Coturnix japonica: one gene and its partner. Each later gene encodes a partner of the first gene's protein in a complex. Links are inferred from orthologs where the notes say so. Each region holds a gene or a part of one and is shown on either strand. Other genes may lie near its edges.

Region 1 (15,405 bases):
AGGGGAAGAGGAGTTTTTGTATCAACAGATACGCTTCGAGGAAAGCGTTGTTTATTTCCTTGCGGGACTTGAAGATCACAAATGCATTGAGTAGTACGGCTGTGTCCTGCAGCGCAGGGTATCAGCTTCCTACCTAATTAAATGTATCTCTTCGTATTGTGTTTCACGTTGGATAGAATAACAGTTAAGAGTTCCTTGAAAAGTCTTAGATTACTCAGCATGAAAAATGGATGTGCTTCTGGTGCACGTTTGCAGGTTGGCTGCAAAAGTAGAAGAGCCATCTCAGCAGCCCCTTGAGACGTTGTGTTGTCTTGCTGAAAATAACCGAGCACAGCATCTGAAGAGCAGAGGCTCCAACAGGGACTGTGGGTGCATTGCACTCCTGTCTTGGAAGAACGTATTGTCTGATGTGCTTGGCAGAGGAGTTGAAAAATCAAACAAATTTTATCATGATGAGGAAACCACACGATTGATCTGTACACGTATATATGTATTTATTGATGTGCTGTGTGGTAAACTCCTAAAGTAGAACAGGAGGACTGGAAGCTTTTGCGTTTGATTCCTGTTAACATAGCTCCTCCGGAAACTTGAGTGACCTTCTCTGGTGAGCAAACAGCAGCAGCTCCCATAGTTTGTAGGTTCGCTATATTTTATTTCTCAGATATTTTTTTTTTCATTATTATTATTGTTTTCAAATGAAAACATTTCCAGTCATTGCTTAAAGCCTTGCCTTGTCATCCTTCAGCTCCACATACTCAGTACCCCTAGAGGACCTCTCTGCTGTGTGCTTGGATTCACAGAGGCTTGCAGCCCCCAAAGTCTTTCAACTCTTCTATTTCTGGCAGTCACAGCGGAAGGGCTGTTAGGAACTGTGACTTTGTAACAGTAACAATGAGATATCAGCCATTTTCCCCTTTGCCACCTTATCTTAAAACTAAATCATTTGTGCCTATCCCAGCTATGTGTGCTCAAAGAAAGATACGATGAAAGGCGTCTGTTCTGTCAGATCCAGTCTGGTGACCGAGGATGTAATCTGCAGGAGGAATGCTTTCTCTGTTGTGGTTTGTTGCGGTTTTCTGACAGGCGAGATTTTGCTTCGCTTCTGACAAGTCTGCATGCGGACTCATGCAGCCTTGTGGTTACAAAGGGAGACTCGGTAGCGTACACCATGCCTTCAGGATTCACTTCTGCGACTAGTTGCTAACGGTAACCTACATCCAAGCAGCCAAGATGTTTCTTTCTCCCCATCCCCCATTTGGGCTCTCAGCTGATGTTCCCCAGAGGAAAGTAAGCAGCACTTCTTGTGATAGGCGGTGCTTAAAGCAGATATGAACTGTGTTGCGTATGAAGCCAGGCTCTCTTGTTGCAAGCTGACCAAATACTTGCAAGGTTGAGAGGAGCCCTATTGGTGCAGCTGTGTATCTGTTCCCATGTGAGGAGAGAGCTGCCCTCCATTGGACTCATGGTCATGTTGTGTCCAGAGGCTACTGAGCCATTCAACACTTAGAATCTGACCTTTAACCCAGGGTTTAAACGGTGTTAAGACTTCCTCCGTAGCCTAAATTAGGGAAATTTATTACATATTGATACATCACCATCTCTCTTTAACCATATTTCTGAGTTCGGAAAATTGGTGTAGTTTTGCACCTGTACTGACATCACTGAAATGTACGTACTAAGTGTAACTACATATTACTAAATGTACTGATGGTGACATGCAGCAGCAGTTTGCAAACAAGCTTATAATCCCCACTCTCTTCAAACAGCCTTAAGTCAGACTCTGAGCATCAGAGTTTGTCCTTCCTAGCTCATATTTACATGCATGGAAATGGTGTAGTGGTAATCTTGATAGAAACATCAGTGTATGTCGGGTGAAAAACAGTATTAATCATAGGAGTTCTTGGGAATTAATTAGTTGGATTTTAAAGGGTGAAATTGCTGTTTGTGAGAAAGGCTGAAAGGGAGCAGGATACTTGTTTTAGTTCTGGAGAAGTTCATGTTCTATCACTTGGCTCCTGCAAGTGTATTTCATAGTGTGCAATAGGAGAATACCGTGTGGAGCGTGGGTTCTGCAGTACAGGAAAGTGAGATAAGCTGACCCCATAAAATTGACATTAGAACCACGCTGAGTTTCTAGCAGAAAATGAAAGCATGTGAAACATAATTCGTGCTAGGAATGCAAGCAAACAGAGTATGTTTCTTATTTAAATGTTATTTGGTTCTGAAAGCTGAACTGATTGGTAAACAATCCTGTAATAATATCTGTCAGTGTTACAAAAGGGCAATAAAAGGCCGTGAGAAGTTGTTCAGCTCCATCCCATCCTACAAGGCCACTGAAATTTCTGGGCTTCAAACAGAATTGGTGCTGGCTTCTGCTGCTGCAGGTAACATTCAGGTTCCAAAATGTCTGAATTGATTTGTTGTGTGCGTTTGTACAGACAGCGGCCAGTGATGGTGTTTAATCAGAAAGAGATCTGTTCTTTCTTTCCCCCCCTCCCCCCCCCTGCTCCCCACTAGACACCCTTACATTTTAGTAAGGAGATTCTTTTTTTCCTTATCACAGCTTCCCATGGGAGAACAGGAATTACTCGGCTCTTGGTTGCCTTTACCATGAAATTTTGAGCTCCCTGAACACTCGACTGCATCCACTGAGAGAGGCGCTATCTGGAGAAAACATTACTTGTATGCAGAAATTTCCATACGATCACCAGTGGGACAAATTAAGGCTCCTTGTACGATTTCATTGTTTAATATTACCCAAATTTGAGTATTCATGTTTGTAAGCATCTTTATTGTGTATTTTGTATATGAGTTTTTCTGACTTTCATCATCGTGGTGATGGTCCCTAGGAGGACCTGGGCTTGTTCTGCCTAGAGAAGGCTGCAGGGTGACCTCATTGCAGCCTTCCAGTACCTAAAGAGAGCCTACAAATAGGAGGGAAAACAACTCTTTACAAGGGTAGACAACAGCAGGACAAGGGGAATTGGTTTTAAGTTTAATGAGGGAAGATTTATGTTGGATATCAAGGGGAAGTTCTTTGCTATGAGAGTGGTGAAGTGCTGGAACAGGCTGCCCAGGGAGGTTGTGGATGGAGGTGTTCAAGACCAGGTTGGATGGGGCCCTGGGCAGCCTGGTCTAGTATTACATGTGGCAGGGAGGCTGGAGCTTCCTGATCCCTGAGGTCCCTTCCAGACCAATCCATTCTATGACTAACTCCACAGTACTACTTTTTGCATCTCCATCAACAGCTGTAGTGTGCTGCCATTTTCTTGCTCCCCTTGACGAAGACACGATGCACACATCCCAACAACTTTCCGATTTGGTTACAGAAAGCAGAGGAACACTGGTGTGCATCGGTCAGTGCTCTTCCAGAGAGAACTTGTTCTGGATGTTACAGATTTTGTCCACTTGTCCCTTCCTTCCAAACCCCAGGGGGCTGCCTTTCTGCTCTGCTTTCTCTCCTGGTCTCTCATGGAAGAAACTACATCTGATAATCTTTTACCATATCTTGAAGCCCAGTTCTTCAGCCTATACTTTAGGAAAATAACCACTGATACCATCTTCCAATGTTCCAAGTAGCCTTGACAGCAGAGAAGGTAACGAAATACAGGTTGGATGAGCAGACAGCAGCAAAATTGAGAACTGGCTGTTGGTTGGGGCCTGGAGGCGAGTGATCAGTGGAACAAAGCCAGGTTGGAGTGCAGAGTGCACCAGGGTCACTACTGGGTCTGGTCTCGTTGAACATCTTCATTAAAGATCTGGCTGATGGAGTAGTGTTCCCTCGGCAAACATGCGGGGGCTACTCTACTAAACTGGGAGGAGTGGTTGATATGCCTGAGGGTTGTGGTTCTGTCCAAGGGGACTTGGAGAGGCTAGAAACACCTGAAGGGAGGGTGGAAAGAGGACAAAGCCAGGCTTATGGCAGCGGTTACAGCACCCTGAATCCATGTGATTTTGCTGCTTCTGAAGAAACAACAACATGCTTACTAGTACATGCATTGAATGTACACACTTCAGATGTTGTTCTGCATCTGTTTCGTATCCGTGGATTCTTAAGGAATCCATGAGGACCAATGTGGGGTTGAAGTGCTAGTGTGTGGTTGTGAAACGCAACTCAATGGCTGTTCAGCAGTAGGTGATCACTCAGCAAGATTGAGGTGACCTCACTAGTGTGTGGATGTTAAGGGTGTGAGGAGGCAGTTTAAGCACACCCAGGGTTTTGATGGCATTTGAGTGCGTGTGTAACTGTGCTGTAAAGGAATACAGGGAGGTGCTGAAGCAACGGGCTGCATCAGCTTTTCTTTTGGTGAGGTGTTATTCTTACTTCATGAAGCACCCCAACTGCAAAGAACAAGGCAAGGTTTGTTCAGATATAAAGGATGGAATCTGCATCCTTAAGAATGGCCTGCAGTTATTTCATTGACCATAGCTGGGCACCACTGAAAAGTGAATCCTTGTGAGTGATCACAATGTAGATGTGGAAAAAAACAATACTAATAAAAAGCTAAAATTGGAAAACATTTATGATAATTGCTAATGTGTGGCTTTTACGGTGTTCTTATTCCTACATTATGGATGCTTCCATGTCTCCAGATGAAATATGTGAGACAGTGAGTCCCGTGCTACTTTTATAGCCTTGGGAACAGGCCTCTGGTCTCTTTGCTAGAGGAGATTTTGCCAAAACAAAAGCAAATACTTCCCCTTTGGACATGGACGTGTTGCATTAAGACTGGAATCCACGCCTCCTGAAATACTGGGAGGGCTCCAAGAATATCTTCCCACTACTCTGGGATACTGCAATCTTATTTTCTTGCCCTCACCATCTGGGTTTATACAATGAATCTGCTCATGCAAGTCAAATGAAAAGCAATGGACATCAGCAACAAGCGGCCCAGAGAGGCAGTGGAGCCTCCTTCTCTAGAGATGTTCAAAACTCACCTGGGCGCTTTCCTGTGTGATCTACTGTTGGAACACTTTTCTAGCAGAAGGTTAGACCAGATGACCTCCAGCAGCCCCTTCCATCCCCTATGACTGTGTGTTTTTGCGTGGTTCAGTGACCTGACAAGTTAGGGATTCCTCTTATGTAGTCTCATTGCTATTACTTATGCAAGCCTATCCTGTGTTCCTTTGCTTCGAGCTACTCACAGTGAGGAACAATTTCTTTGGTTAATTTAATTACCCTTTAAGTTGAGGAAACAAAAATATGGGGCTGGTTTGGAAGACTTATTCCCAACCGAGAGCTTCAGAAACTGGTTGTACATTGCAAGGAGTGAAAATGCAAAACAATCAACCTTCCTTGAGTAACACATTTCTGATAACGTGAGAGAAAAAACTGTTAGGAACTGAAATGAAGCATTTCAAATAGAAGCTGTTGCCTTAAGCTGTAATATCTGATTTATTTGCAACCAGAATGGAGTGGCTGGAATACAAAAGGCCTGTGGAAAAGTCAGGCTATTGAAATACCCCGCTGTAGTCACGAGGGTTGTTCGTGCAAAGTCTACTGGGAAGAAAGAGGAGGGGGAAAAAAAAGATCTTTGCTCAGCTGTCAAAATCGAGAGATTTGTGTATACACATGTAATGCTAAGGGAAACTGAGTGGATAACAGAAGGTTTACACACCAATTTCCAGTAAATAATTCACATGATATGGGACCAAATGCCTCTTATCTAAAGAAAACTTCCTGGGAAAGAAAGCAGAGCTTGATTTTGAAAGGAGAGACCTCCTGGAATTGGGAAGTGTAAATCCCAGAAAATGTTCTTTCTTAAACTGTCTCTCAACATCAGCTGCTAAACCTCCATCCAGTTAGAGGTGTTCATTTGCAAGTATCTGAGCAAGCTATTCTTTATCCAGATAAATTACAGATAAATTCTGCTGGCGGGACTAAGTTGGCAGCTACATTAAGAAACTCCTCTTAGGTAAATCCGAAATACACCGGAAAGCAATGAGGTGATGACTTCCATTCCATGTGTTTAGGGTTTGTTTTCTTCAGAAATCAATTGCAAAATTATAGAATGATTCTAGGGAGTATCAAGGCATTAAACTGAGACACAGGCAGGCAGGAAATGCCAACAGCTGACACTGACAGGCTGCGAGGCATTTCAGCATGACCACGTTACACAGCCACGCTATAATAACATTTCATTCATATACATTTAGCGTATGTCAACAAAGCTCTGTAAGGTAAATGAACTCCTGGCCTCATTAAGTTGTTGGCTGTGACTTAAGTCAGTGCCCATAGACATTTCTGCAGGCAGAATTCTACTCACTATGTGCAATGTGTTAAACTGTTGAAGCTACATATGACCCACAACAAGACCCAGCTAATTACAGCACAGTTTAAGCACAAGCTTTTCTGTCTAAAGTGGCACCTACAGCAAAGGGCTGTAGTCAGTGTCAGACTTGGTTTTTGTGTTTAATCTTCCATGATAAAGCCTGGAGAGAGAAACTTAACGCCACCCTGTTCCTGAAGTTCCAAAAAGCCTCATCTTGTCATTTCTATCTCAACCTTCCTACAATGGACAACTGAAGCTCTTCCGGCCCGCCTCCTTACCCTGACAACATAGGAACACTGAAATACATTGTACCCACTTTCTCTTTCATCTTCTTTTCCCTTTGCTGAGGTCCAGTTCCTGTGCTCACATTTCACTGGTGTGTGAATCTTCCTCTCTTTTCCCAGGAGAACTACAGAACAGATGCTGCTGTGTCCTGGGATATTTTTAGGTTTCCCAGGGAGAAGGAAGGGAAAGCAGCAATGCCTCCTCCTCATCAGGGAGGGGCAGCCAGGCCGTGGGACAGCCCCTGGCTGCAGCCTTCCAGGTCACAAACAATCACAGGCCTGTTGGCACCAACAATATTTAGTTGGCCATTTCCTTTCTCAAAACTGTTGAACATTCTTCAGCCATGTCAGATAAATAAGCCACGGTCAAATTTAACTTACCACTTGCAGGTGTGTTTAAAAGCCCTGCAAGCTCCTGGTATATGCTGTGAGTGGCAGGAATGTTAATCTGGACATGGGATTTACACCCACCCACACTTTGCCTGAGCTGCAGGATTACTTGTGTGCTGAGTCCTCCAGTGCCACTTTCACACGCACATCCCTGCTGGTCTGACAGAGCCCTTCCCTAGGAGGCTGGTGAGGCCCTGGCAAGGTGAAGGAAACCAGGAGGGTCTTTGAGGAAAACAATGGTTTGGGTTTGCTCCATTAGCAAAATGCACAGGGCTTTCAGGGTCTGCAGGGGAATGATGTGAAGTCAGGACAACGGTGCCACTTGTGAAACACTGCACAGAGAGAAGTGAAGTGTTTATGGCCAGCTGGCCAACAAGCAGGTGGTGCCAGGCGTGCCCATAAAACCCAGGGTGGGGGAGGTGACACAGAGCTCACATGTGGGTGCTTAAGAAGGGGTGGCTATACGTGTCCTGGGCTGCATGACACACGTCACAGGTATGATGCAGTGCTGCCCATCTCTGTTGTGAACACAAACAGTGGAGCGTGGGTGACAAGATAAGTGGTCTCATTTATAGTGAGATCCAGGACACGAGCCTAACCAGGTAATGCAAATGGCAAGAAGGGCATGGCTGGTTACAGACTGAAGTGTGTTTGTTGACACTTGCAGGGCTCATTAGATATAGTATGAGGTGTTTTGAGTGTCCCTTGCCTTTGAGGGTAGAGTGGGCACTCAGCACCAGACAGGACAGGGTGAAGACTGATCCCACTCAAGGGATGCAGAGGTTGGGGGACACTCGGTACATATGCTGCACAGCCGTGGCCCTTGCCCTGCCATGTCGTGAGCTGAAGTGTGTCTGTGGGTTCCCAGAAAATAGCAGTGATGGCAGTGAGCACAGCAGGGTGCACACAAGGGGAGCTCCTGTGGAAGGAACAGAGCGATCTCCAGTTTTGAAGGTTTCCCACAGCAGAATAGAAACCATCTGTGTTATACCCTTCTGTCTTGTAGCCCCCCTTAAGATGCTGAAAGGTCGCCCTCAGGTCTCCCTGGAGCCTTCTCCTCTCCAGGCTGCACAGCCCCAGCTTCTCAGCCTGTCCTCCTCATAAGGAGGTGCTCCATCCCTTGGATCACTGTGGCCCTCCTCTGGCCGCGCTTCAACAGGTCCGTGTCTCTGTTGTACTGAGGGCTCCTCAAAAAAAGACAGACGAAAAAAGCATGAAACATCACTCCTAGCAAACACAACGGGAACCCCCATCGAACAGCAGCTATTGGGGCAGGCCCAGGAGCCCCCAGCACATCCCTCCCGCACGGCAGCGCCGCCTCCAGCCGTGAGGGCTCGGTGTTGTCCGCAGGTGAGGCGGCCCCACGCAGGTGAGCGGCCCAGGGGAGCGGGGCGGCTTCGACCCTCGGCGTCCTGCGGCCTCGTAGGCCATTGACCTCTGCTGTGGCTGCGGAGCAGGCCGGCAGCCGGGCACGGCTTCCCATCCACCTCCTCCTCCTCCTCCTCCTCCCCCGCCGCCGAGCTCCCGCCCCCGGCCGGCCCCTGTGGCGCTGACGTGCGGGCGGGTGGCCGGGCCGGACCAGGCTGCGGGGGGCGGCGCAGAGCGGCGCGGCGGTGGCAGCGGGGAGCGGAGCGGCGGCCACAGCAGCAGGTAACGCCGCGGAGCCGGGGCCGTGCTGCAGGCCGGGATCCACTGCCCTGCTCGGCGGCGGGTGGAGGCGGCGGAGGGGCCTCTCCTCGCCGGAGCGTCCCGGGCGGCCACGGGGCAGGTGCGGGCGGCTCCCGCGGGGCCCGGCAGCGGGGCTTCGGGTGGGGGTGTGTGCGAGAGGGGCTGGCGGAGTTTTGCGGCAGCAAAGGTGGGCAGAGCGCGGAGCGGGAGTTGGCGGAGCCGGGAGTGGCCGGGCGAGGCCGCCGTGCGGTACCGGGAGCCGGGCACGGCCTGTCCCGGGGAATGCGCGGAGGTGCCGGCAGCCCCGCGGGGGGCGGCGGCTCGGGCGGTTCCCCGGCTCGGCCGAGCGGAGCCGGAGTCTGACGGGCGCCTTCCTGAGCGCTCCCCGTAGGAGGAATTCATCCCAGAGCTGCCTTATCAGGTGCTGCTGGGGCTAAAGTGCTTTCTCCTTACTTCCTTAACTGAAAAGTTATTAAACATCCCTCCTCCCTCCCGCCGCCGTCCTAAGTGTAGCTCTGTATAATGCCGTGCATTCCAGCTAACGCTGAGTTTTATCCACACTCCCTTCAAAAGCAATTCTGTGCTCCTGGGATTGTCCCCGTAAAGGAAAGAAACTCTTTGCGGTCTTGTCTGGACAAAACTGGGCATGGTGTGAACTGCAGTGAAGTGCATCTCCTCTCTTCTGCCCGAGTGCTGTGGCAGGCTGCCTATGGAAAGCAGTGTGTGCCTATGGCTGATACGCTACAGAAACCCATCTCTGACTTCTTCTATTTACATCTGTTACTAAATAGGAAGAATTAAAAGTGTCTTCTTTGTTAGCTGTCACTTGAAGACGGCTCACAGTGTTACTGTAGGTACTGCTGATGCTTGCCTGATACTGGGCAATCACATTCCTGGCTAATAAATCCTGATGCTACCAGATACCTATAAAATTGAAATACCTGAATTAAAAGCTTATAGATTACAAGAATGCGTGGTTGTTACCTATTATTTCATTTAAACATTGCTGCTTGTCAGCCCTTTTCTACAGCATGTCATGCCTCCAGCCTTGGTATCCCACTGTATTCCTGAAGGAAATCAAGCCATGGAGCCATCCCGTAGCTTGCTGGCACTGCAGGCTCAGCATGGCCTATGGACTGGGTGAGCAGGTGCTGGGGGACAAAGGTTGGCCACTGTGTTCAACCTTCCTTTATTCCAAGTGTGGCATATTAACCAAGGGCAGGGATGGACTCCTGAGTTAACATTAACCTGCAGCCTTTCTTCTGCTGTCTTCTCAAGACAAAATACAATGCTAGGGTAAAGGCTGAGGGACAATAGAAGCGATTAAATGATAAAACTTGTGGAAATGTATAAGCATAAGCAAATGCCACCTTATGATGCTTGCTCAAGTGCCATAAAGCTGTACTAATGTGCAGGTTAGATTTGAAGTATATGTTTTATAAAGTAACTGCAAGGAATAAAAGTGTAAGAGTTTATTGCTGGGGTGGGATGGTAAACATCAGAATTGTTGGAGCACTGGTTAGTAAATACAACATAGGAGAGGTTTCAAAAGTAGAAGTTAGGATTTAGTTTGCCTATATTTTTAGTGGCTGTGCTTTTAATTTGTGTAAGTTACTAAATGATTCTGTGGCAATACAGTTGTGTCCCTCTGAAGCTATAAAGCCCGCAGAGTGAATGTAAAGGTAGAGAAGTTTGCTGCAAGGCTCACTGACATCATGAAGTAAGAAGCGCTTCAGTAGTAGCTTGTAGAAACTGCAAATTGAGCTTGTTTCCCTCACCTTGTATTTCTAGTTGGGTGGGTGTCTGAGTGTAACCTGTCCTGAACTCTGAGTCTGGGATTGCTACCTGCTGGTATTTGATGGACACAGTAACCATAATGATCCTGTGGATGTGCCATCGGTGTTTGGACACAGTAACCATAAAGGTCCCATAAGGAAAGTCAACTCCTGGCTCCCCACGCCTGTTCTGCAAAGGCAGCCTTGTGACTCCCTCTAACCTTCATGCTCTCTTGGTGTTTAATAATGCTGATCTGAGAAAGACCTTGAAATGTTTTGGCAGAGGAATTACAGTGTATGGTGATGTGAGCGATGTGGCCAAGGTGAGAAGGGAATAATTCTTTACTGTCGCTTTCAGTACGAAATGCCAAAGCAGGAGATTAAGCTGGCAGGTTCAAAGCAAACAAAAGGGTGTTTTTTACTTACCCAATGTGTAGCTACTTAAGCTTTGGAAATCCTTTCTGAAGCATGTGGATACCGAAAGCTCAAAGGGACAAAAAAAGCAACCGGATGAATTCATGGAAGAAAACTCCCCTGAGGCCCATCCTGTAAAGCTGCTGTGGCTCAGGGGTTGGCCACAGGTGGAGCTGGGATGGGATGCAGGCACAGCACTGTCATGTGTTTACCAAGCTTTTGTATTCATTCTAGGTGTGCAGGGCTGCGTGCAGTGCTACAGGCAGCAGCCAGGAGCAGCAGATCTGCTCTTTGACCCAGAACAGGTGATTTGGGGGAAATTATTTTTCATATGAAGAATTTGTTAGCAGCTGAACCTGAGGGACCGTGTCTGGATATATTAAGTGTGGTGACTGATCTCAAGGAGCTGTTATGTGTTGCCATTGTCAAATGGAAACAAGTAGCTCAAGCAGTACTATAGGGCAGTTCTGGCACCTGTGGATCTGATGTCTGTCTTGTGTACTGGGTTAGCACAGAATTTGAAGGAGTCAGAGGAGGCTTTCTGAGCCTTGGTTTTGATGCTGCCTTTTGGAGGATGGGGGTTTCTGATATATTTAGTGGCTGTGCTCAAGTATAAAATGCTGTGTTTAGAGGAAAGAGTTCCCATCACATAGATTGGCAGCAGTGCTGTGGGGATTAGTCTGCAGAGGATTGTAGGAAAAGACAGGATGCAGTAATGTGAAAGTTTGTTAACATTTGGCATGAAGTCCAAGCTAATAGAGTAATGTGTGCAGGTTTTTTTTGCTGCCCTTTAGGAAAGATAAATGCGAGCTATGCTCTGGCAATGGTCATCAAGGCTCAAGAAGGGTTTGGAAAGCGTGATCTGTAAAGGGCAGATGTATTTGCAAATCACAGCCTACAAAGGGCAAGCAAACTATGTTTGATGGAGGGATGTTGAGACCAGGGGACAAAACGATACTGTCTTAAATGTGGTGAGACTTTGTTCTTCTGACGGTAAGTTCCAAAAAAAGAGGAAGCCAGTTCGTACTGAGGGTTTGATTTAGTACCAGTGGTTGTGCTTTGGGAAATCACAGAATTGTAGGGGTTGGAAGGGACCTCTAGAGATCATCGAGTCCAACCCCCTGCCAAAGCAGGTTCCCTACACCACGTCACACAGGTCGGCGTCCAGGTGGGTCTTGAATATCTCCAGAGAAGGAGACTCTACCACCTCCCTGGGCAGCCTGTTCCAGTGCTCTGTCACCCTCACTGTAAAGAAGTTCTGCACATTCATGTGGAACTTTCTATGCTGTAGTTTCATCCCATTACCCCTAGTCCCATCCCCACACACACTGTACTAAAATATTGCAACAAGCGGAGGTTGTGGAATCTGGTGCTTGAAAAAGTTATTGGGAGAAGGATGGAGCCTCTATGAGGAACACTCTGACTGCTTCTTGTGCAGGGGTTTGAGCCTGATGAGTTCTTCGCTTCTTGAGGCAGATTATTACAGCGTGTGTTCAACAACAAAGTGCTCTGGTTTAGGAGTACAGCCTGTAATCCTGCAGGAAATGTAGTTCTGCAACCACACGGTGATTTAAACTGGAGAAGTCAGAGGGATAATAACTAAGTTATTTGTCACCAGCTGCAGCATATACTGTATGTTACTGTGTCCAGTATATTTAGATTTGTTTGGAATGGCTGTGTTACATTTGTGGTAAATAGTGGGGACTGAGACTTAAAGATGTATTTCTGATCAGCGCCAATACTGCAAATAACACATGAAGTAAATGAATGTGTTGAGTTGATATCTACAGATGAGGTCTCAACTTCCCTGTTGCTGAATAGCATACAAAAATGGGGCAGACCACAGTGGAGCTAGTTCAGGCTGGTGCTGCTATTGCTGTGTGTGTCATAGGTCAAGATGGAAGCCTGCTGTCACCCGTGGGTATGGAAGGTGGTTTGGGAGCCCCTGAATCATTTTTTCCCAGTGAATGAGTGTAATGTGAGCAAGCTGCAGCCAGGCTGTGCATGCCCAACAGTCCTAATGTGGATCTCAGCTCCTATAGGCATGTTCAAGCTGTGCAGGCCACATCACAGCTAGTGCTATAACATGGTACGGACAAACCATAGGTTGGAATGGGGCGGTGTTTAGAGGGTTGCCAGGGCAGTATGTTCAAGTGTGAGGGCCCAGTCTGCTCTTAAGAACAACAGCAAGAAAATTCCCAGTCATCAGCTGGACATCTGAGTGTACCCCAGATTCGTAAGTAATCCTACAAAAAGCCTTTTAACATCGAATGAAACAAAACTTCTCTTTGCTTTTTGGAGCAATGCAATGCGTTTGCTGAGTTGATTTTGTGCGAGACGTTAGTTATATTTTCATTAAATACATTTTCATAGTGGGTAGACTTTTACCATCTTGAATGAATTTGCTTCTTTGTAACTGGCACGACTTAGTCTGACCTGAAATTTGGGGGAGAAAAAACAGAAGTAGAGAGTGTGACAATTCAGTGCTTGATGATCATCTCTCTCACGTCAGCTTCACGCGTGGTTGGAGTGACAGCAGCAACTTCCTTAGCTAAACTGGAACTGTTCTTATGGATTCTTCTGAGAATCCTCGTTATCACTTGGCAAAGCTTTGGTCACGCCAGGTTTGTTCCTAATTGCCCAGAAAACCGACTGAGAGGCAACGCTGGAATGACCGCATTGCTACAGAATTGGTCATGGAAGGGCTGCGGCCTGCTCAGGTGCCAGGCCAGGCCGGGCCGTGGCTGGGCAGCGGTGTGGGGGCACACTGTTCTTTGAGCTCCCATCTGAAACATTTCCACATTTATTCCAGTGCACCACATTGCAGCCACTCTCCAGGAGAGGTGGTAGTGATGAGAATCTTCTAGAAAATGTTTGGAGGTGAAGAGGGGCTGCTTTGCTGCATCTTCCATTTCCTCAGCAGGCATCTGCCTGTTGGTACACTGAGGAAGGGGCACTGAAGTGTTCTGCAAAGGGAACGTTCCGTAGCTGGTCTGAGAGGTCAGGGCTTCATGTATGCATTAACCTCGTCTGGTGTAGACACCAGAGCTTACACACTGCATTTTCCAGGACAAAGATCAAAGCATTAGGGGAATGAAAAGGCTAACAAATATTTTAATGACTTCAATTCTAATGATTGTCTAGGGCTGTAATGCTGTGCATAGCTGGGCAGATGTAATTGCTTGCATTTCCCCCAGCAGCTTGGGTGCTTGTGCACCTGTCTTTGCAGACTGCAGGGGGTAACAGAAAGTCCCCCTCTACATCTCCCTGCTGCAGGGGACACAGTGAGTGCCAGAGCTAAGAGAGTGGGGCAGTGGGAGCAGCACAGCGGCACAAATGCAGGGAGGAGGAGGAGAGGTTACCGCTTCAGCTGACCCCACCTCATGAAACTACAGCATTTTTGCAGTCCTCTAAACCCATGTAACCCTTTGCCTAATTTTTAAGTTGTTATTTTTATAGTGTTTTCTGATCGCTTGGATCATTTCTGATCATTTCCCCAGCTCATCTTCAGCAGGTGTTCAGGCCGTGAATGGCATTCTGTGTTGTGGCGCATGGAGTGTTACTTGTGTGGGTGCTGCAGAGTGATGCTGTTTCTCCAACACTTACTCACTGCCTTCCCTTTTGATGAGCAATCTGCCAGGCCCATTTTCTCCTCCTCTTTTAATTTTTCTTTCCTAAAAATAGACCTACCAGCTGTGTATTCATTTGTGGGCATACACGTGTGTGTTGCGTCATTGCTTTATTTTCCTTATTTGCTCTTAGCTGCAAACAAGCTATTTCATTGAGGCTTTAATGTTTTTACAAGTGTCAATAACTGATCTTCTTGTAGTTATGGCATTAAAGTTGTTTTAAATTTCTCAGCTCCCAGAAGACAGGATAGAAATGGGCTCATTTATCATAGCTTCATTAAAACAGAATTGTTAGGAACAAAGCATTTAAATTTGGGTTGGAACTACATGATCCTTGAGGTCCCTTCCAAGCCGGGTCATTCTGTGATTCTGTGTTTCTGTAAATGTGAGTATATAGAAAGATAGTAGTTCCAGAGGTGATGTAGTGATGTTGGTCTTTAAAGAGCAATCCAATTAGAGCTCTCCTGTGTCTTCACAAACATTGTAAATCAGTCACTGTCAGGCACACAATCTCAGATTATATGGACTTTGAGCAAGTGTTTGGTTCACTGTACCAGTGTCATTAATTATTTAACTTTTTTTCAGCTGTTTGCTGACTTGTTATGGGCATCTGAAAAGTAGTGTAACATCTCAGTATTTTTTCAGTCATTTACACAAGTCAGAATTCTAAACTTCACTTGGGGAAAGGATGTTTTTTCATATACGTTTCCCATCATGTTCTGATTGTAATCTGAAACAAATTTTACCTGCTGTTCTATGCTTGATTTTGAAGTTCTGCATCTTTTCAAGGAAAAAGAATTAACACAACTAACCTAGGGAGAGAAATCCTGAACATGTTTTTTCTTAGTGTGCTATCATGCCGTACAATTCATGTCTTACTCAAAAGGTCAACACCCACAGAATGTGATTTTTGCAGTGCAGTCATCTAAATAGATGCTCTTCTTCGGGCTGTAACATTCTTTTCCCGTGGTAA
Region 2 (15,596 bases), on another chromosome or scaffold:
TCTGTAAGAAAAGATGTTTGACTTTGTTTCCGTACAACTGTGAAGTTTCAAACTGAGCTTGCTATCTATCAGCCTCCCTGTGTGGTGGGACAGCAGGAGTGAAATCTACATTTTTCATTCCATGTATCACCTTCCTTTTTACATGCTGTTCTTGACGTCTCCACTGTGAGATAGAGCAGACCCCCTAGGATTCACTGGCAAATCCCCAGCTCCAGAGTTAACATGTTTGGCAGATTTCTAACATCCCTTCTCAGGGGGGAATGCCCACATTTGTGCATGTCAGAGTGACTGTATATGAAAATAACTGAGAACATAACCCCAGCAGGACTCGCCTGAGATTTTCTTCTCTCCTCAGTCATTGGCCTGAAGAATTTTACATTCCCAGTGGAAAGAGTGGGATAAGGAAAAGGAATAAATCAAAGCAAAAGAATTGCAAATGTGTCTCTGGGACATGGGAGGCAGCCTGGCTTGAATCAAGATTTCTCAAGGGATGCTGAAGGCCTGTTTGAATGGCTCCTTGTGCTCATGAAGATCACAAGGAAACATCTAACAGATGCTCTGAAAGCTCTTCTCTGTCTCTAGATGTCCCAGCAGTTTCATCTAGGGGACTACTGGGACGCCCAGCTTATTACCTCCAACACTGTATGTTACCACTGTAGTGTAGGGATGTAGTGTTACAGGAAGTGCGCCGGGACCTGCTGCTGGATGAGAACCTTTGCCAGCCCTCTTACCCTTCTTCAGTCTCATTAATAATGTCACAGATCTCCATGTTGAGAGACCAGTCCTCACCCCGCAAGGATCCATCAGTAGCTCTCTCTGGAAAAAAGAAACCAAAACAGCACAGAGCTAAGAGAAGTCTTGGCACTTTCATGGGCTGCTCTTCAGCTGTGACCCTGGATTTTGTCATAACATTTAACAACATGAATCAAGCTGCAAAGTCTGAGCCACCAAGTGCTTCCCACTAGGTGTCACCACCACAAAGCACATTGCTGGCTGTTGTCGGGATGGGCAGTTGCGCAGCTTTGCCCACATCACGCATGCTACAAACTCACACACACACACTGAATGATCTCTGGTGTCCTACACGCAAAGGGAGATGGCCTCAGTGGAGAGCAAATGACTTCAGCTGCACAACTGAAGAAAGGGGGGATTATTTGCTTTGTTGTTGCAGGGCCAGCAAAGGAAACCATGAGTTTGGCCTGCTCATGCTGACATGGATCTAATGTCATTGGCATTGCTTTTATTTGCATCAACTTAAGGGAATGAATTAGCCCCAAGATTTTTACAAGTCCTATAAAAACAAATAAACAAACAAAACACAAAAAAAAAAAAAACAGGAAGGCTTGTTTAAAATTTGCATCTCTTGCCTGAATTTCTGGCCTCTGGGGAGTATCGACAGACAAGGACTGCGGGCTGAAGTCATGTTCCAGCTTTTATTGTGTCCCCTTTAATTAGGAATTCCTCAGTCAGCCTTGATGTTATTCAAGGCAGAGATTTGGGCAACACGCAACTATTAGTGAGATCAACAGTGCCTCCACCCTGTAATCAGCTGCGTCTCACCCCAACCACACTGGCTGAGTGATGCCTTTAGGGTCACCACCAGTGAGTGGGGGAAACAACTGCCAGTGGGTAGGCAGAACCAGACACTCTCTAGACCACGGGGAAATGCAGAGATACAGCAGATAGCAAACAGTGCAAGAGAACCTTCTTTCCAAGCTTTCCCATCCTATAAGATGCCTGATTTAGTAGTGGAGCGAGGCAAATAAAACTAGCCAGACCAGTTCAGCACCTATCAGGTGCTCTCCAGAAGAACTGGGACCCAGCTTCCTTACAGGGACCAGCTTACTTAAATACGTACTTAGAGGAGTGCCTGCATTTTCAGAGCTGCTGTCACCGCATAATCTGGAGCTGGCCCTTGCTGTTGTGGGTCCTCTGCCCTTCAGAGGGAGCCTCCTCTGCAACCCAAATAGCTAACGATCCCTCTGTGGGACTAAAATGAAATGCTTGCTCATGCAAGTGGTAATGAGATAGGGGCCACAACATTGGAAAAAGTTTTCTGACTCCTGCCTGGGTAAGCACATCCATCATGTTTTCAGATGCCCTGTTTTAAGGATCAGTCAGAGAGCTATTCACAGCACTATGCAATACACCCTCCCTTGTACATGTCCCTCCCACAGGTTACACACCACAGCATGAAACTACCTGCCCGAATCTTACCAAAATCCAGCTGCCACCTTTTCTGCTAGCTGCAAAACCTACTGATTACATTGTGATTAGGTTGATTACATTGTGGCCACAACTTGATGGAAGAGGGCAAAGAATGGCAGAGTGGCCATTCTTTGACTGCAGAACATTCTTAGACTGCAGTTCAGGCTGACTTGATGGATTTGGTGCACTTGGTCATGAAGCCACACTTCACTGCTGCTCCCCTCCATGCTGAGGGTTACCTCCTGCTCAGGACACACCTTGGTTTAAGTCCCAGCCTACCCACTCTACCTACTCTCTTGCTTCCCTGTGCTTGTCACCACTCTTCAACCTGCTTTCTTGTCCCCTTTTCTTCCAGATGTGCTCACCCTGTCAAAGTTGGGAAGCGGGTTTGCTTTCCAGAAAGGAATGCAAACAAACCATGCGCACTCCTTCACCTGGCTGGCCGGTATGGAACGTGGGGATTCCTCAGAGGTGACATAACACAGCCTGCAGTCACCCCACAGCGGAGCAGTGATCCTGTCATAGTCAACCTCCTTTCTGAGGCTGATGGGTGAAAAGCTGCAGGAAAGCAGCAAACCTGCCGTAAATACAATGTGAAGTTAGAAAATGTGCAGCTGGAATAGCAGAATTAGGGCATAAGGAAAAAAGGAGGGCAACAGCTTTGAATCTGCCTGCTAAGATTAAGGCCCAGCCTCACTGGCCCTAGGAGGGTTGAAGCTAATGCCTTCTAAATCCTCGCTCCCGAGTACTGAGGGACTGCCCAAGACTAATAAGATATGTTGAATGTTCTCTGAAAATCCTGAACTTTACCCTTTTACTGAAGCTTGCAGAAAGAAAGGAAACAAAGTATATTCATTAGCCACGTGAGGGATCAGAGCGGCTGGCCCGGTTTCATGAGCTGTAATTAGCGCATGAGCTGTCTACCCTTTATAAAATCTGAGCCTGAGATGCCGACAAGTCTCTAAAAACAGTGAGGACAGGAGGCAGGGCCTGGCTGCCTGCTCAGCACTGCTTGGCAGGGCTTATCAGGCAGCTTTTGATTCTATTTGCTGGGAGCTGATCCTGGCCTGACACAGGGCATGCCTCATAGGGAGGTTATCAGCTGGTGTATAAATGCTGCTTTCTTCAAAGCCTGATACCAAGACCATACAGCACGAGAGAGGCCCTCTGTGGGGCCACTTCAAAGCTGTGTTGTTTCAGTGGCCAGACCAGCTTCCTGGGTGTGACAGCACTGAGGTTTGCCTGATACTGGTTTGCTTCCTTGCAAATTGCCCACCTCAACCCAGAATCACAGAGTGCTGTAACATGAGTCAAAACAAAGCACTGAATCTTCCTTTCTGGCACCTGACACACTTTTGATGACTGTAAGCTATTAATGCATCTGGTACTGTAAGATAAGAAATTATTTTGAACTGATACACTGCAGTAGTACCTTGCATTGTGACTGGTGGGAATTTCATGGCTTTGTTTCCTTCCTAGATTCTTGCTTCTTCCTTGCTGTGATGGAGGGGACAGCTTGCTCTCCTGACATGTATCTCCAATCCTAATTCAAGAATGGTGATGGACATCTGCTTGATCTGCCACAATGCTTTGGGTATCTGCATCTCTGAACTTATCCAGCTGTTCCTTCCTCAGCTCAAAATCTCAGGGATCAGAGAGCTCTTCAAATCTTTCACAGCACAGAAGACAAGATTGTAACTTGCTGAGAAGCGTTGCCTTGCATGAACCCGTCAGGAAAGGGGAATGCTATTAACAGCAGACGATATCTGCTTCCCAGCAGCTCCTAAAGTCCAACTTGCAGAGGGTTAGGGATTTAAATAGCTGTGAGGCACATTCTATTTTATCTGCAGCTCTCCCTCAACCATGAGCCAAGGCAATCTGCTCTCTCTTACTTGCTCCCTCTCACCAGCCTCAACTTTTCTTGGTTATCACGCTTAACCCATATCCCAAACATAAAAAAAACTCCTCTCCATCTCTGCATTATATCTTTACTTCTCTCCCTCACCTTCTGTCCTCATTCAATGAAATAATCTTTCTTTCCCTTTCAGTACTGCCATAATTACGAGCTATTCCAGACTTCAGGGTTCAGGAAAGAGCACTGTTGATTTCCTCTCTATTCTTTCACTCTGCCTTGTTACTATCAGAGCATCTCCTTGAAAGTAGGTTTCCCACTCTGATGTTTCCTTTAGCTCCTAGGCAGAGGCCAAGTGAATTGCCCTTTCATTGGTAGAGTCCAAGCTACAATGCTTTAGCACTATTCAGAAATGTCTCCTTTGGTTAGAAGTACTTCATTTTTTTAAAGGCTGTATTCGTCTTATTAAGGAAAAGAGATCACAGCCCAAAACCAGGACAAAGGGATATTCTGTGATGAAATCTCAGGATGGGGAATAAAAAGGTGTAAACCTACTCCTCTGCAACTTTTTTTTTTGTAAGAAATCACTGAGATTATCGAGTGTGTGTTTCCTTCTCAGCAAAAACAAGTGGGACTTGCTAGATTAACATTAATGAAGGAATTTGAGAACATCATTGTGCATCAGAGTACTTCCTTTTCATCCCGTACCCTTCATCTAAAGCTTTTATGCTTTATAAGACGTATCAGGCGTACATCACTCAGCCCATGTAATTTGCAAAGATGCAATATCAGCTTTCTGCAGATAGCCCGAAGCGGAGGCACCGTGCAGGTTTGGTGATCAGGTTCATGGGCTCACTATGCAGCTACCACGGACCTACCAAACAACTTCAGGTAAGTCTCGTTCGCATCTCAAATCAAAAAGGAAAGATAGCATTTATCTGTGTCCCCGGGATGTCGTTAGGCAATGTTCAGAAGGAGAAAACATTTGTATTTACATCTGTCAGCCCTTTTTAAATCCTCCACCCCTCAGTCCCTTTCTCACACACTGCAAATCCTCCACCCCTTTGGACTCCAATAACCGCACTCAAGGCCAATCCTTAAGATTTTTCTGCTATGTTGTAGTACTATGGGCTCTAAGCTCCTGTCTGACAACACTCTTGAAACACTTTCTTCCTCTTCTTTGTTGTTTGTTTGTTGCTTGAAAATCCCTTCTTTAAGAGAAGTAAAGCCCAGCAAGGAAACCACTTATATCTGGCTGCTCAGATAAACTGTTCAGAAGACCCAGAGAGCATGAAGTACGCTGTAACACCTACAGATGACTTCGGTTTGCCTGGACCCAGACACATCAATGTATCTGATACCCTCCTAGAATAATCACAAAGAGCAGGTGACAGCATCTCCTGGGAAACACAATGAAACACGTGACTGCCACCTGGGGAGGCATCACATATCAGGCAGAGCTGTTCTTTATTGAAAACCTGCCCTTGGTTGGGAAGGTTAAAGTCAACCTTCCCCCAGCTTGCTGTAGTTGCATCTCACACAAACAAGAAATGGCCAAATTGCACAAGATGGAGACATCAAGCAGGAAACACCAGCCTCATTTCTTCAAGCACAACCTGAAGGCATTTAGATGGTACAACAGGAGAAAAGAATCTTTATTCTAATTACGTTAAGAACTGCATCTCTGCTTTGAGACCAGCATAGCTGCTCATGGCCTTATTCTTTCTCTTTGCTCCACTTTCTTGGGCTACTTTGTTCTGTGCTCAGCAACCCGTTTTGAGCACAGCGACTAAAACAACATCTGCGAACCTAAAGGGTCACCAAGTGGCTGCCACACTGCTCCCACTGCTGGAGCTGGGGCTCTATCCTGTGATCAGGCCTGTGGTGCAGGGCAGAGCCGGCAAGGCTCCCATTCCACTGCGCAGGGAAGTCCATGCCAGGCAGCCACGTGTTGGGTGCTGCCGGGTGCGGGTCCCACTAGACACGCCACCTCGGTGTAGGCCAGCCCGAGCCCCCACCCTGTCAGCCCCAGCTCTGCGCTCATTGCCCCCGCTGGCTCCGCCTCCTCAGGTAGTACAAGGCGCCTTCCCGCCCAGAGCGCTAATAGGCCGCTGTGGCTGGAGCTCAGCCAATCAGCAGCCCCCGCAGGGTGGGCACCCGCTCCTCCCGCGAAGCCCCCCGAGTTGTGGCGGGAATGGCGCCGAGCCAATCACGGAGCTCAGCGCCGCCAGGGGGCGTGGCTCGGGCCGCCGCTCCTCGGCCCCTTTAAGAGACGAAACTTCGCCTCGCCACCTCGAGACCCCAACGCGCGCGGATTGGCTGGCGGGGCCGCCGGCGGCGCTGCCTCGGGCTGCGTGTTCTCTATTGGTCGAAGGCGCCCGTCAGTCACAGCGGAGCTCCCCTCTCACTGGCCGCCGCCCTCCGTGTCCCACCGCGAGGGCGGGACCCGCCGCGTCTCGCAGGCGAAGGGTCCTGCGGGCGGCCGGCCGGGCACGGAGGCCGGTACCTCGGGGGGCGCGGAGGGGAGAAGGAACGGGGACGGGCGCGGGGGCCGCGGGAGGGCGAGGGACTCACCGAGGCTCTGCCCCACCGGGGTGCTGAACGGGTTCCCCAGCAGAAACTCCATCGCGCCGCGATCAGCTGACTGTGCCGCCGCCGTTCACGTGACCGCGCGCCGGGCCGGGCCGGGGCGGGCCCCGCCGTGACGACAGCGGCCGCCGCCCGGCAACACCGCGGGGCTGAGGGCAGCTCGGCAAGTTGGTACGGCGCTAATGAATGACAGCAACAGGCGTTAAAAAAAAGAAAGTGTATTGTAAGGACGGTACAAAAAAGGCTCGTATTGTAACGGCGTTTGGATCAAACGGCAAGGAAATAACAAAGATAGAAAAACTGCCAAGTCTTGCCAAAGTTTTCCCTCTAGTAGCAAATACTACAAGTAACAGATGATACAAAGTGTACAAATTTTAAATACAAATACAATACAGTGGCGTTGGGGGCGTTTGTCGCTCTCCAGCAGGTTTGCACTGCAGAGGAAACAAAGCTGGAGAGGATCCCTCTCTGTCCCTTCGCACAATGGTCATTAACACGTGTCAGCCTGGGGTGGGGATCAGGCCAAGAACACAGAAATGAGAGTCAGAGCACCCGGCTGAGAGGCTGGAGGTGCTGGAGGAAAACTCAGCTTCTCAAGCCAGTCTGTTGCTGCAGATGCTCACACCCTTCCCCACGTGATGCCGATGCGTAGTGCTGCACGCTGCTGATTCCTCTGCGGTGAGGTGAACCTGATCCCGCTGCTTGTGGAGGGAGAGAGCTCTGCTTTTAAATTATGTATATATATATCTATCTATGTACATAGTCATATACAGGATAAATTAAAATCTGTTAGAGATATATTGGTAGAAGTTAAATACATATCATATGAACACCACATCAACATACATACAGGTGCACAAAAGCCTATAAGAAAAATCAAGTGCTTTCCTACGGCTCTTCTAGAGGAGCGGAAAGTCAAACACTGAGTACATGGCAGGAAATAAGTCCAGTCCTGTCCTGACCAGTCCTGACAACACACACGTGCCCTGGTCAAGCTGTAACTGCTTCTAACTGGCCATCAGCCACCATCCCACAGCAGCACTGTGGCTCTTTCAGCACTGCTGGTGAAAGAGATGGGGGTCAGCAGACTCAGAAATCAAGGCTGGCTGTTCATAAAGCCAGTGTAAGATGGGCAGAAACGATCCAATTGTTTTCCCAGTTGCTATAGCTCTCCATCAAAGCAGGCTGACCACACCCTGGAAAAATCAGCAGGAAGTTCATTCTCTGAAATCAATTAAGTCTGTTGATACATCAACACTAGGGATGACTCGGGTGCACGTCCACAAGAAAAGATGAAGTTGTCATCTTCAATTTCATTTCAAATGGCAGCTACCAGACCGGTGAGCTGACACTGGCAACTTTCAGCTATTGACTGACTGAAGAAGGGGCTTAGAAGATGTGATCAAGAGGCAAAGCCCTCTGTATCCTTGCTCAGCTGCCCCCTCAAGCAGATTTTAAACTCAAAAACAGAAATGGGTCCAAAATACCATCACTACTGGCTCACAGAATACTCTTAAAGGGTCTAACCGAACCATCTAACCCCCTGTGTATAATGTAAGTTAAGCCAGAGAAGGCTCCATCCTCAAGGATGAAAATTCAACAGCCTCTATGGGCTTCCTGTTTCAATGACTGCTCCAACGGTTACATGTTTTTCCTTATATCCAAAAGTCCCTTCTCTGGCTGCTTCCCCCATTAAAGGATCTGTATTTAAGGCTTGTATCTCAAAATCTTTCTGAATTCTTTTTACAAATACTTCCATATTGGATCGCATTTTATCCACCAAGAGAAATGTAGCTCTCTCAGCTTCACAACTTTTCATAAAATACAATCCTATGCATATAATATACATTTATGAAACTTTAAAAACACTACATGTGGAGCCCATATGGAGCGCCGGTGTAACGCACATGTACACAGGTCAGTTAGGCTGAAGTTGAGTAAATCCCAGGCTCCTTTTCCATCAAAGTCCAGGCATGATGTAAGCGATGTTGTCTAGTGTGTTTGACTGGGAAAAAAACCAAGATGTTAACGTCCAACAGTGACTCAAAATCCCCCAAAATGACACAGAAGGGGGTATTCAGCACATTCATTTGTCTTACAAGTTACCATACCAAGAGACAACCAAAGTGATAAGTCACGACTACCTACCACCACCTTATCACTGGCTTATTGTCACATATTTGGAAACTTAGAACTAAGCACAAAGGTAGCCCTAGTACTTGGAAGCACTTGGAAACAAACTTGAGGCTTTCCTCGAGTGACTTCTTCCTAATGAACCTTACGCTCTTCTACCTTTCAAGATGAACCAACCACACTGGCTACATCACATCAACCACATGGAAGATGCAGTGAAGTACTCTGAGTGATAGAAGTTGTATAATGTGAAAAAACAACCACAGAAAACAAATAAACAAAACAAAAAACAACACCCCAAATCCCTGGCATTATACTCACAAGTCCTTTAAGACATTCTGCAGTGTATAAGAGAAAGAAACACCTACTAGTAGGGTGTCAGAAGGGAAAAAGAAATGTCCCTCCAGTTTTCCCTACAAATTTAATAGAATTCTGAGACGGAGTCCTTTTTTTACACATCAGAAAACAACACCAATCACTATATTGTCTGTATGTTCTTCAAATGTAGTATTTCAGTATCCTCAGATCTATGGTTAGGCGGCTGAAGGCCTTAAGAACTCGAGCTGTAAAAGGGTGATTCTAAAATTCAACAATGCCACCTACTGACTGAAAGGATAAACTGCATCCTATGTGCAACACCTCCACTGAGAATTTTACTTCTCTTAAGATACCCCTATCTTTAGGTACCTGACTGTAAAAGTCAGAATAATGTCTTTCTTATCGAGTTTGAACATCAGCTCTCAGAAGTGACAGGTCAGTGCCTTAATCCACCTGCAGCATCACTGCTCTTTTATAACAATAAAATGATCAAGTTTCCAAGACGTGAGCCATTAGTCACGTGGAAAAGGGGTGTAACGTTCTGAATTAACTTGGCTAGCAGGGAGAAAAGAATTGGATGTTTTTCCATGGCTTATGATGGGTACACCCCGTTGACTCAGCTTCTGTATGGACAGCCAGTTTGTAGGAGCTCACAGCCTAAGCTCTCACATTTGTTCTTGCTAACAGTTTCTCAAAATGAATCATTAATTGGGTCGTCCTTTTTAGAAAACCCTAATCCACGCCCCATTTTGTTATTCTTTTGTCCAGATCCCAGATACTATTTCAGTCTCTCAGCTTTTGGAGACTACAAATATGTTTTTCGTTTTTGCTCTACTTTATCACTAATTCATGCCTCCTGCTGGAGGTACAACTTCTGTTTCAGTTCATGGTGCTTCTGTCTTAAGCTATGTCCACATTGTGCTACAGTGAGGTCACAAGCTGTTGCTAAATCAGGGCTCACTTGCAGCTGTAATTTAACATGGAAAAGAACCTGAAGCTACCCAGTTCCTTAAAACAAACTATTTTCCACTTTAATTTTAACAATTCTAATTGCATTCTAGGACTGACTCATCCAAAAACTTTAGCTGGTCTCTACTGAAATCAACAGGGCTAGAATGGAAATAACCACAAGAAGCTTACCAAAACATGCTTAGGGCAGCCGTTCAACTCAGGTAGTTGAGTAGTCAGACATGCCAATGGCCCCAAAGCACAGAGGATAGAATCCAAAAGTACTGACAAACTTCCTGAAACAGCCACCATTCCCTGGAAGTAAGGAAAGAAAAACCAGATAGGGACAAGTAGCAGAAATTATGGATCCTTCACAACTATATTGATTCTCATTCACACACAGTATCCTCACTACTGAGCTCCCCTTGTCCACTTTATTTACACAGCAACAAAACTATGCCAAGCACTTCACAGCAGAAAATGCTAGAAAGTTGTCAGCTTTGTATACAATTTAATTCCCCAGTTTATGCCATGTAATTTTCTTGCCATTCCATACCTTCTACTATATTAACTAGATGCAATAATGTTTTATTATTGGAGCCTAAAGAAATGGTAAGTCTGTAAAAATGCTTTAGATATCAATATATTTCCAAAAGAGGGAATGTGCCATTCTGTAAAGGGATTGATTTCTACTCCATTTGTTCTTTTGAAGAATAACCTCAATGAGGTCATACCAGAAACAAAATGCAGTAACGTTTATTTTATTGCCGCTAAAACAAAAAAGCACAGTGAGATGACTTTGTTAGCCATAAAATTTGCTGGTATTTGTTATTTTACCCAAATATGTCCTCTGTTTCTAAGCTGTGCTGAGTTCTAAACCTGTGAGTGTGTGTGTGCACACATGTATGCAGACAATTATTATCATCTAACATTAAGAAACCACTGGAAAATATGACATCTCCTACATTAGTATGTAAGTTGAAATCATAGTCATGGCTAACTAAAGCACTGAGAGCATGATACTACAAGAAAACAACAGTACATGCTAAAACATCTTGGTAAAGGCCTTCTCTGATGCTCTTTTTTACCTAAAGGCTTGAGACAAAAATGATCCCCCCAGTCCTATGTGTGATTGCATGACATCACTGAGACTGCTGGGGACAAACTCACCTCTGTTTCCTGCAGTCTGTGTCCAATGAGGCTCAGAGATTCACCCAGCAACTGTAAGTGTGCAGCTACATCTATAGGCTCCGTCTCAGGGGCTTTGCCTGGTGAGGAGGGCAACACCACAGTGCTAGTGGGAGATTTCTTATGAGGGGAAATCGCTCCTGGTGGAGAAGCTGGAAACACAGGAATTAAAATTCTGTATTATCTACTTTGACCTAGAAGCCTATTTACTTTCTGCATATCAAATATCAAAGTTATTAGATGCTTAAATAGTTATGTGGACCTTTGGAGAACAGAGCCTGACTTCAGTGTTGTGCAAAGCAAGTACCTCAGCTGGCTGTAACTTGATAGGTTTGGGAGATTTGGTAAATGGAGATGCCAAACCAACAACAACCCTTTTTCATATTGCAGAAAGATATTCCCACTAGAACTTCCCTGATTCTTGCTTCATGTTTCAATTCCTGAATTGCTAAAGCCAATACCATTCTACTAACTAGACTTTTTGAAAAGTGCTGATATCATTCTTGCTCTTCAAGAAACATTGCCTTTGAGTGATATAAGTTAAGCGTAAAGACACCACCTTCCCCACTCCAAAATAAATCCAACAAGTAGAGCAAATAAAGCATGGCAATTACCTTTTATTTTTGGAGCCCCATCTGAAGATGATGCCTTTCTCTTCACAGTAGTGGCCTCTGCTTTATTTTGCTTGTGTTGCAGGTACTGAGCTTTCTGTTTCCAGATCTGCAGTTACCATGGTATAAAAACAAATTCATAATGTTAGATAATTATTTCACCTAATGCCAAGACCTTGGGGCAGAATAATGTTACGTAGCCAAGTTGTGAAGCAATGCCATGAGAAGTAAATAGATGCTTTTATGACCACACAGGCAAAATATTCAATTTTCCCACAGTTTGTGGACAGAGGTAACATTTCTTTAAGGTATTGTGGCAATAATGCTGTTGTGTTCTGACCTAAGCACCTAGTTAACAAAAATCATTTTGCAGAAACATCTGACACGCACTTACCAGTTTATCCTTGTCAGGTAGCTGCTTCCACACTTCTGCCAGCTTTTTACTAAGGTCTCCAAAATCTGTTCGGAGGAAAAATAGACAGGCTCAAAATAGATTAAAGAATAAAACCACAGTGAGGACACAGGGATTTTATGTGAATTTCAACACTGTGAAAAACTGGCCAATGCACACACGTTTAGAAAGCAGTGCCTTTTACACATGGAACATTCCACACTGTCTAAAAATGATTTCCACTGTGCATTTCCTTACTGTCAATGACACTGGGAATACAAGATCACACATGCGTATGCAGGAAAATAACACAAAGAAAACAACTCTTTAAGTAACGAAAGGAAGAGTAGGTAATTTCTTCATCCAGATTCACAGCTTGGTTAAAATGCAATGAATCAAATCATAAAATCAATTTCTGTCCCTCCTACCTCAAAAAATCAGAGGTTGGTATGAAGGAGAAGGTATGTCCTGCTAATTAATTAGACTGATGTATAATCAGAGGAGAGGAGAGGAGAGGAGAGGAGAGGAGAGGAGAGGAGAGGAGAGAGGAGAAGGAGAGGAGAGGAAGAGGAAGAGGAAGAGGAAGAGGAAGAGAGAGGGAGAGGGGGGAGGGAGAGGGACAGGGACAGGAAGGGGGAGGGGGAGGGGAGGGAGAGGGGGAGAGGGAAGAGGAGAGGAGAGGGAGAGGGAGAGGGAGAGAGAGGGAGAAGGAGAATAGGGAGAGGGAGAAAGAAGGAGAAGAGAAGAGAAAGAGAAGAGAAAGAGAAGAGAAGAGAAGAGAAGAGAAGAGAAGAGAAGAGAAGAGAAGAAGAAGAGAAGAGAAGAGAAGAGAAGAGAAGAGAAGAGAAGAGAAGAGAAGAGAAGAGAAAGAGAAGAGAAGAGAAGCTATGTTTTCTCTCACCTATCCCAGGGTGCTCAGACACAATGTTTGTTCGATATTCCTTACAGAACACTTGATAGGCAGACATGTTTTTCTTCTTTGGCTAGAAAAGAAGAAAAAAAAAGGAAACAAAGATTTTTAATTATATAGAGATGTACTCAATTTCTTTAATAATTTGACATTTATCAGAAACTTAAAAAAAGACATGGTGATTAGATAAGGAAGATAAAATAGCCATGTTTTACATGTTCTGGCCAAATTCAGCAGTTTTGAAAGCAATATGAACTGGACAGAACCAGTTTTAATGTAAGACTTATTCTGCAACAACTACTGATGCATTTCATTCCTAAGTCAAAAGTTTTGCGATTCTAAATCCAGGAGCAACAAATAACTCTGTAAACATACCTCAGTTTTCAAATTTAAAATTGAAAAAAACCTCACAACTGTCTACTATTCACAGTTCCAACAAGGATCTGTCAAAGCAGATCAGCTTTTTTTCTGTTTCAGTGTTCGTGTTTTGTACTTTACAAACGATTCTTACAAATCACTTTATGTTTTCAGGAAAACAGTTTGTACAAGTACACTGATAACAGATGCATAAGGAATTGTCAAGCTCTGATCAAAAAAAACTTTACACATAAAGCAGAATAGCTGAGTAAATTTGGGCTACACAAAGCAACACTGTCTATGCGGATGTACAAAACCTTTCCTTTCCCTATATATAAATACACTGAAAATTAGTCTGGACTGGAAATCTTAGACGTGCTCCAATAAATGGATAAATAACTTCAGTCTTTCAGCTTACAACTCAGTTCCTTCCTACAGGAACTGACATGATGGACTACAAGACAGCCAGAACAGCCCAGAATTCTACTGGTAATAGTTAGAGCCAGCAACCTTAGCGAATGATGCAGTGGTGGCATAATCTGTACCAAGTATATCAAATAGAACATTTTCAAAGGAGCTATACTGGCTAAAGACTGCCTGTGTCACAAAACAAAGAAACAAACTATGATTAATATTCCCTCTGCTAAAAACCTGAAACACAGTAGAGGAAACATTTCAGCCAAACATGCTGTGTGAAACCATCAATGCTGACATTACTTATACTTCAACTTAACACATCTTTGTAACATTGTGTAATTCAACAGTACCCATCTCCCAATTTCTAGTTCCCCTCGTTTTTTTCCTTACTTTTTCTCTGTCCCTTTCTTTTTCTCTTTCCTTTTCTCTTTCCTTTTCCTTTTCCTTTTCTCTTTCCTTCTCTTTTTCCTTCTCTCTTTCCTTTTCCTTTTCTCTTTCTCTTTCCTTTTCTCTTTCTTTTTCCTTTTCTCTATCCTTCTCTTTTTCTCTTTCCTTCTCCTTTTCTCTTTCCTTCTCCTTTTCTCTTTCCTTTTCCTTTTCTCTTTCCTTCTCCTTTTCTCTTTCCTTTTCTTTTTCCCACTTCTCAGCTTTTTCCTTCTCCTTTTCTTCCTTTTTCCTCCTCTTCTCATTTTGTCCATCTGAGTGAAAAACAGCAGGATGAGGTGGAGGAAGAACATAGGGAGTGCTGGAAGGAGGTGGTGGTGACACTGTTATTTCCGTTGCTGCCACAGAAGAGTGCCCAGAACTCTTTTTAGACTTAGAGTGCCTCTTCTCCCTGTGCCTCTCCTTGTCTTTTTTTTTCTTACTTTTTTTTGACTTCTTTTTCTTCTTAATTTCCCGGTAGGAGTCATCTATCACTAGCTCACCAGCCTCCAATTCCCCACCAGAAGAGGATCCTGATTCTGGTGGTGCCTCCACACCTGAAATCTCATACTCACTCCCATGGCCTTCTGAAAAAACAGATGTGTCAGCACCAAAACTCTCTGAAGGGGGATGTGAGTCTGGAGGTTTGTGCTTCTTCCGAGATGACTTCAGGAAGCCATGCAGTTCGTGACCCGGATGAAATGACCCTTGTTCATCTCGAGACGATTTCTTTGAGGATTTTTTTGAGAAAGAATCATCGTCTGTAGCACTGCTTTTCTCTTTTGGCGAAAGGATAAGCTTCATCTTCAAGCCATCAGGCTCACGAAGGGTAAGTGTCTCTGTGTTCACGTAAAGAGGTTTCATTTTTTTAGTTTTGTGGAAGCTGCCATCGTCCACTGAGTGCTCTGCACTGCTCCCACTCATCTTCTTCTTGTGGTGCTCCTTTCTGCTTTCAGAATGTCCAGAGGAAGAATAAGATGATTTTTCAGAGGTCTTCTTTGAAGACTTAGAGCTTGTGGATAAAGGTGTGGCGATAGCCTTGAGTAGATCCATGTTTTTGTCAGTGGAGGACGGGCTAGAAACTGCTTTTTTCTTCTTCTTTGATGGTAGATCCAAAGATGAAAGACCTGAAAATGGTCAAGAGAACTGCTTATCAATACAATTCTCTTAACGATACCATTACACAAACCAAAAGTGAAGTGGGAATCCTGCAATACTTAATATTACAGCTAAGTGATTTTCATCTTGGCT

The links.
Region 2: the proteins of MYO6 (region 1) and TOM1 are in contact, whole or in part, in a crystal structure (PDB 6J56), measured with the Homo sapiens proteins. The link is inferred for Coturnix japonica from reciprocal best matches to the Homo sapiens genes MYO6 and TOM1. Residues at the interface, in NP_001355794.1 of Homo sapiens: Ile1182, Phe1184, Trp1202, Gln1214, Glu1216, His1218, Asp1220, Lys1221, Pro1222, Ile1224, Leu1226, Glu1234, Met1235, Cys1236, Leu1238, Glu1242, Thr1243, Gly1244, Leu1245, Arg1247; in NP_005479.1 of Homo sapiens: Ser440, Glu441, Phe443, Phe446, Leu447, Arg450, Ala451, Ala453, Ala454, Asp455, Leu457, Pro458, Asn459, Leu460, Ser461.

The regions. Positions count from the first base shown.
Region 1 is NC_029518.1:73,462,599-73,478,003, reverse strand, and holds the start of MYO6 (unconventional myosin-VI), read left to right. Parts: upstream 1-8,525; 5' UTR 8,526-8,596; exon of another isoform or gene 8,597-8,714; intron 8,715-15,405. UniProt on the Homo sapiens protein: Myosins are actin-based motor molecules with ATPase activity. Unconventional myosins serve in intracellular movements. Myosin 6 is a reverse-direction motor protein that moves towards the minus-end of actin filaments.
Region 2 is NC_029516.1:47,631,695-47,647,290, forward strand, and holds the start of TOM1 (target of Myb protein 1), read right to left. Parts: upstream 6,732-15,596; 5' UTR 6,687-6,731; coding exon 6,635-6,686; intron 837-6,634; exon of another isoform or gene 817-836; coding exon 732-816; intron 1-731. Other genes in the region: HMGXB4 (HMG domain-containing protein 4), read right to left, coding at 8,610-8,654, 10,241-10,363, 11,219-11,388, 11,851-11,956, 12,242-12,306, 13,140-13,221, 14,313-14,319, 14,563-15,472.